Linked DNA regions of Coturnix japonica. The protein of the gene in region 2 interacts with the protein of the main gene of each other region in a pairwise test. Links are inferred from orthologs where the notes say so. Each region holds a gene or a part of one and is shown on either strand. Other genes may lie near its edges.

What was found.
Region 1: the proteins of SP4 (region 2) and NRF1 interact in binary tests that used the Homo sapiens proteins (3 or more experiments, as listed by UniProt). The two-hybrid records come from large-scale screens. The link is inferred for Coturnix japonica from reciprocal best matches to the Homo sapiens genes SP4 and NRF1.

Annotation. Positions count from the first base shown.
Region 1 is NC_029516.1:842,995-846,815, reverse strand, and holds part of NRF1 (nuclear respiratory factor 1), read right to left. Parts: intron 3,784-3,821; coding exon 3,657-3,783; intron 3,117-3,656; coding exon 2,976-3,116; intron 1-2,975. UniProt on the Homo sapiens protein: Transcription factor that activates the expression of the EIF2S1 (EIF2-alpha) gene. Links the transcriptional modulation of key metabolic genes to cellular growth and development.
Region 2 is NC_029517.1:28,004,269-28,008,089, reverse strand, and holds part of SP4 (transcription factor Sp4), read right to left. Parts: intron 765-3,821; coding exon 536-764; intron 316-535; coding exon 116-315; intron 1-115. UniProt on the Homo sapiens protein: Binds to GT and GC boxes promoters elements. Probable transcriptional activator.

The DNA.
Region 1 (3,821 bases), on a different chromosome or scaffold from region 2:
GCTGCTCCAGCACTAGGATGGCTCTAATTAGTACCATAACGAGACCTCACCCCAGCACTTCCGAGACAAAGACTCCACATTTCCAGGGGTGCAGCCAGCAGGATCTATGGAAGCCACGTTCTGCAGCCTCCATCTGTGAAACATCCTCCAAAAAAGCAAAGCCCTTCCCAAAAAGACCACAGCTCACCCTGGTGTCAGCTCTGGGAAAGGCTTTTATAACCTCCAGCATTGAAAACTTGAGAGGAATCCTAAGAAATGTCTCCTTGACACCCTTCGGTCTTCTCAGTTTTAGTACTAAACATGATCAGAGAATTACAGGGGTTGGAAGGGACCACTGAAGATGTAGTCCAAGTATCAATGGAAGCAAACTAACCTCATTTCTATCATCTGCAACAGTATACAGCATGGACAAGAGCTGGGAACAAGGGGTCCTGTGTGAGGAGCATCCAGGGCTTAAGGTTAATGCCCTGATGAGGCTTCCAGAGGGCAAAAAACCTATGGCTGGGAGTCTTCTCTTGGCCCCACATATCTCCAAAAAGCAGCACATGGGGCTCCTGAGAGTAGAAGAGGGCAAAGAAGGAACTGCAGCTGTTTTTCAACAGCTAATTTTAGACCATTTTACTTTTAACATACAGATTGAAAAGCAAGACATGCATCAAGGTTTTTATAAGGTGCTCCAAGCAGGGAGCTGTGGGACTATGGAGCATCCCAGCTGCAGGAGCCCAATTCAGGACAGCAGAACCAGGCATTTCTCCATAGCACATGTACAGCTCTGGCATAGAGCACCAGCTTAGCAGAGCCATTCCTATCTTCTGCACAGATGAGGTGAGTGATGCTCTTTGCTCAGAGCAGCCCTGCTCAGCCTTTATTTCCCTCCAGACCAACAAGGAAGCAGAGCAATTAAAAGGAGAGAGATTTTCACTCTCCCTGTTGAGGAGATGACATCTCTACCACCTGCCTGCAGGCACCTGCAGCTCCCATAGGCACACCTCTTCATGGTGCTGCTCCATTTGTACTTACAAATATTTGGGGTCTCCACAAGGCTTCGTGTTTCCATAGAGTTTTGTGCTGTCAAATAGCTCTCTAGCTGCTAACAGTGAATGGAGTTGTACCAGCAGCTCTGGGAATCAGAATTCTTACAGAAAGCAACAGCATCTCCAGCCATGCAACATGTTGCAGTGATTTAGCTGTTATCATCCACTCTCTCAAAGTAATGTATTCTGAGCCACTGAGGCACAAAAATGACAGCAGCCTCGTCGTATTCAACACATCTGCTTTGTGCTTCTATTTAAGGGTCTGGCAAGAACTGTATGGCAGCTGGACTCCTTCAGGAATGGAATTACCTCATAACCATCACATGTACCATATTTACTCCCTGAATATTCTGCAAGGAGGAACACCTCCTGGGTTGTGAAAATCCACTCAGGAGGCTGCAGTGCAGTCAGTTTTGTCCTCAGATGGCCTCGTGGTATTCAGAGCTCTAAAATTTTAAGAGAACACCTACAATATGTCATCCCTGTGTGATATGCAGGGAAACTGAAATTGAATGTTGACTCCAGAGTCTCAGGAGAAGGGCTGGACTTCAGTACCAGCCCATAATACACACGTAAAGCACTGCAGTACTGGATGTGAAAAGCACAGACTGTCCACAGCTTGGGAGAAACCTTCATAAAGCTATTCTGAGTGATCATGTTGCACTGAAAAAAGGAGAGTTACTCCTAACACAAGACTTGTTTTACCACAGCTCAAGTTCTTTCATGCAGCGTTAAGCAGCCCTATGTTGCTGTGCTGTTGCATCAGCAGTTGGCACAGTTTTTCCCTGCAAAACATGAAGGAGGAAGAAAGGAAGTAAAAGCATTTCTCCTTTAACTGAGCCAAAAGAAGGATAGAACACTCAGTGTTGGGTGGGGGGAAGCAAGCAAACATCAGAGGCACCTTGGTTTGTCTAAATCTTTGTGCAGAGTTTCCTGAAGGCTAAGGACATGTCATGCTTGGAAGGAAAAACCTCATTTTTAGCCTAACATGAGAAGTAATAATATTTTTCTCATAGATCATTGGAGGAAAGGTTGCTTCACTGGAAGAGAAGCAGAGAAAACTTAACTCCTGATGTTAAAATTTTTAATATCCAGTTTTATCATTAAAAAAAAAATAGTCAGCAAAGGGCTGGGCCTGGACAGAAGGGAAGTCCGTATTTCTCCAGGGCAGTCTCCATCAGTATCTCACCCAAGGTTTGATGTGGCCTTAAATAATTGGCAAGCCCTGCTCTGTTCCAGCAGAAAAATGAGGGGACTATCTAGAACACGCAAGAAACAGCCAAAATGGTGCAGCAGAAGCCACCTCCCTGACCTCAGGGCTCAAAAATCACTGTAGTGTGCAGGACCAAGTGCTGCCCCTGTTCATGGTGTATGGGAGGTCAGAAAAACAGCACAAAGAGGGGAGTCAACTCCTTGAGAGGGTAGATAATGGCAAGAGAAGGGGAAATGGTTTGAAGTTCAAGGAGGGAAGATTTAGGCTGGATACCAGGGGGAAGTTATTAACTATGAGAGTGGTGAGGTGCTGGAACAGCTGCCCAGAGAGGCTGTGGATGCCCCATCTATCCCCAGAGGTGCTCAAGGCCAGGTTGGATGGGGCCCTGGGCAGCCTGGGCTGGTATTAAATGTGGAGGTTGGTGGCCTTGCCTGTGGTGGGGATAATATTGGACCTTGAGGTCTCTTCCAGCCCAGGCCATTCTTCTGTGAAAAGGGGTGCTCCCTACAGCCTCAAGCTCTGAGAAACAACTCTGCTGTTGCTACATGCAGAAAATAAGCAGCAATAACAAAGCTTCACATCTAACTAGAGCTGTCACATCCCATGGGAAAGAAAGAAGAGACCTCTGGAGATGCAGACATAAACTCCGGTGCAGAATAACAGGATGCGACTGTAGGATGCCACATCTCTCCCTGGTTCTGCTGAATTTCTACCATGCTTGTGCTTACCTGGGTCATCTTGTCCACTGAGACTGGAATGCCATCAATGGTGAGGGGTGGTAACTCTGAGTTAACCTCCTGAGGTGCAGGAGCGTGCTCTGCCAGCGCTGACTCCAGGTCTTCGAGAATCATGCTCTTGTACTTGCGTACCTGTGGGGAATTGTTAAGCTCAGGTAAACAAAGTGAGGAGCACCAGGAGAGGAGAGGTGAGCAGCAGGGCCTGTCGCCTTCCCCAGGGTGCTGGGGAGATGAAAGAGCAAACAATTCCATGCAAAAACACCTGCAGGCCCCAAAGGCTTGGCTGCATCGAAGGATGATGATGAAACGCTGGGTAACATCACCAAGTGGAAGGATTTGTGGGATCAAAGTTAAGTTCAGAAGTCAGACTTATCATAGTCAGGATCTGCTCCATTTGCTGGCAGGTCTGTGGCAAGGAGCATGCTGTGCTCAAAGACATCCATCGTCACCCTGCACTCTTAATTGAGGCTATTAGCCCTGGGGAACTGTGCTGGACAATCAAAAACTACGCAGAGAAGACAGGAACTCAGTGCTCAACTCACGTTTATACACTGAACCCCTATTTCCCGGGCCTTAAATATGACCTTCAGATCACTGCCAGGCTCACAAGGCTGCTCTGAGCCAGAATTAAACCTGCAATTTATTGTATGGCTTTTTTCTAGAGATACCTACCACATTCTCCAAGGGTGCAGCTCCAAAAACTTTGAAGACGGGGTTGGGTTTGGATGGTGAGATACACAGGACGATGGCTTGCTGCCCCACTCTGGTGGTGTACTCATCCAGCGTGGCACGGAGCTTCCTGAAACAGAACCAGTGAACAGGTGTCAGCTGAGAACC
Region 2 (3,821 bases):
TTTATATTTAAAAGTATTTTTCAGAGACCCTAATGAGGTCTTTGATATTGCTGTTTAACCATGGCCACTACGATCCAGACATAAGGTATTACATACATAGAGAAGGCTGACCAACCTGTGTGGGTTCTTCTATGCCTTTGCAACTCATCACTCCTTGTAAATCGCTTGCCACAAAAAACCCAGTTGCATATAAATGGTCTTTCACCAGTATGCCAGCGCAGATGTGCCCGAAGATGAGATGTCTTGCCATAAACTTTACCACATCCTTCAATATGGCAGATATGTTGTTTCTTTTTTCCTGGCTCATTGCTGCTTCTAAAAAGGTAAAATATAAACAGGTAAGTAATTTTATTCCAAAACACTACTAACTGTTGTAGAAAATTACTTCATGATGATAGTTATAACCCCTTGTCTAAAAAGGAATATATAAACATACTTCGCAGTAGATAGCACTAAAAAAGGATACGACATAAGCAAATTAAAAGCCAAAATGACTTAAAGTGTAACAAGATACATTAATAACATTTATACATACCTTCCTTCGCCCTCTCTGCAATTAGGACACGAGCAGGCAACTCTTCTTGTTCTCTTGCCAGGTTGCGCTTCCTGGTCAGAAGCTTGTTGAGCTTGTTGCAGCTGCACTTGTGTTATCTGATCAGGACTAACAGCACCAATTCCTGCATTAGCAATGCCACCTACCGCTACAGTAACAGGTGCTATGGTAGCCTGCTGCACTTTCACTCCATCCTGTCCTTGCTGTTGACCTGTAAAATGAAAAAGATTCTACATTTTCTCAGCCATTTCAGTAAGTGCACAAATTAACCTCATACATCTTACAGAAAAGAAAATCCACTTATAGCTAAGGGAAGCCACAAAACAAAACAAAACAAAACAAAAAAAAAAAAAAAAAAAAAAAGGCTGGATTTAATATAAGTACTACAGGAAGGTGTACCTGCTAGCTTAGACGGTCCTGTTTAACATAATTTGATATAAGAACAGTACAAGGCTACAAAACACTGAATAATATTAAGAAATGTGAACAAGTTTAACAAGTACTCTTTTTCTCCCCTCAAAAGCTCAGATGAGAAAACAAAATCTTAGAAGCACCGTTAAATCCATTTGCCTCGGAAAACTCATATACATTCAGAAAACCAAAAGTAGCTCAATCTGAAAGTAGCTTTATGATATATATAGAACTGTCTCTTCTCCTACAAACTGTAGGAGAATCACTACTGTGAAAGTTCCTATTTGGTTCAGAGAAAAAGAAATGTTATAGGACTAGACTTGAACAAGCTAGCATAGAAGAGCTTATTTCATTTGCAGAAAGAAGTACATTTTAAAGAAGCCTGCTGAATGAGCTTGAATGAATTAAATGGAGTTAAGACTGACTTGATGAATTAACAGTTCAGTTTCACTGCAGAAGCTTATTGATCTCATCAGCTTTCTCAGTCAAAGACATGCAGGTTGACTGTCTTGATCTACAAGCAAAATAAAGAAGACTCTAACATAGCCAAGAAATGAAGTTTCTCGAGCAGCAGGTTACTGTATATTTTCTTAAGAAGTTAGCATGATAGGATCTAGGAAAATAATTTGACAAATAATCTGACACAGAGATACAACTTCCAGTTGCAGTACTACAACACCAAATGCCAGTTCTGCCAGTAAGAGGAATGGGACAAAAGCCCATTATTACACTGCTATTTTCAAAACTTCATTGTCTTCATACAAATGGGAAATAAGAAGAAACAATTTATTGATAGAGTGTAAAAAGCCAGAATTCTTAAAATAACAGCATTCCAAGACCTGAAAGTCTGCAGTGTTGAAGCACTAACTTAAAACTCTGAAATCCTTTAGAGGCAATGGGACTCAGTGAATTCATTTGGGTAACCCAACTTACTTCTCGAGAATCTGTAACAGAAGTCATCCATGAGGACAATACAGAGAAGAATTTTCTAAATTGTCTACCTACCAAGTCAGTCCATATACAATGCAGAGCAGAATAACAGCTACTTAAGTCATGTAACTGCTAAGATAACAGCCATAAATTAAAGCTAAATAAACACCAACATACACATACAGACAAGTTAGGAAAAAAGACAATACACAGAGAACCTCCCAGATTGACTTCGCTGTCATTCAACAGCTTCATTTCACTATAATCTATATTATATAATATAGATTATAATATATATTATATAATATTATATATAATATATAATATTATATATAATATTATATAATATATAATAATTATATATTATTATTTTATATTATTATATATATATATTATATAATATTAATTATAATATTATATAATACACCCCACTATAATCTGTGGGGTGATACCTTGTCATGCTGTTAAGTTGCTGCAGTGCTGACTAAGTGCTATGAACAGCTGAAATCAAAGAAAGTTGACTGTTTTTGTTGTATCTAAACACTTACCTTAATGTGTTCGTGTGATTGCTTGCGTTAGAAACCAGCTGTAGTTCTCAGTTAGTCAAAGGTAAATAAATTAAGAGAGCACTGGTTTCACTTGAAGTCTTTTGCAGAGCATGAACTGCTCTTGGTGTGCTGAAGAGACCCAAGTTGCAAACTTTAATCCACAGGGCCAACGCTACAGTAGATGTCAGTCTAGTGATGGTCACCACAAAAGCTGAAGATATGTATTGTGGCCTCTGTTACTGTTCTCACTAAGAGGTGTGCTTTCAAGCACATTAAGTTATTCTTTGTCATCAGATTCTGTTAAAGGGATGACTCCACCCACATCAAAAAGTCCTACTTGACAAAAGGAGGCCTGCAACCTAACCATTTTCTCTTAATTTTCCTTTTCCCTCTGAGCGTTTTAAATTGATACTGAAGTTTCAGTGCAACTTCTCCCAGGCTGCCAGGTTTTTTCAGTACAATTTGAACCATGCACGGGGTTTCTTTTAAAAAAAAAACAAAACTTTTTAGCTTCACGGCTAGTTCTTAAATGAAAAGAGTCTAACACACAATTTTTTCTGGATCTGAGCAACCTGCGTTTATGAGAAAGCCTGCCTGCTATTTCTAAAAATCTCATATGTTCTACTGATTTGCTATGAATCAACTTTCAGCCTAAACCAAAAGACAAGCATCCACACAAGGGTCTTCTGACATCTCTTCATAACATTCAGCATAACAGCTGACATACTTTCCTGATCTTGAATCTTTGCCGTTTGCTCTCCAATGAATACTTGCGCGGTCCGTGGGAGGACTACCTTGAACAACTTTATACACCCTACAGCCTTAATCTATTCATTAAGCATGATTTAGAAATACACCTCAGAAGCAGCTGTTCACAATAACTGTAAAGGCAACAGTAGAAACACAAAACAGAAAATGACAAAAATAAGGTTGCTTGGGCAAACAATTACACTCTCCATATGATTTCAGTTAAAGAATAATTGAGTTCTCTTTAGATTGTCTTAACAAAGTTGCTATATTTTCTAATGTAGATGTTGATTTTCTTCTCTAGATTAAGCTCTTGGAGTTACCTTAAACTTCTGTCTCCTGAACTCCATTTACTAAGATCAGTATAGAAGTGACTGAAACACTCAAAATACCACACAGTCATATTTGAAGAACCAGACCACAGTACTCAATGAACAAACCTCCACTTTATGAAACAAAAGAATAACTGGACAGAGCACAGTTACACGATAATTATATGTATCCCTGCAAAAAAAACCACCAAGAAGTTCAATATTGTAATTCCTGGACTTTTATTTTATTTTTATTTTTTTTATGGAACTCCTGAAAAAGCACCCAAAAACTAGCACAATAGCAGCAAACATGAAAGATAG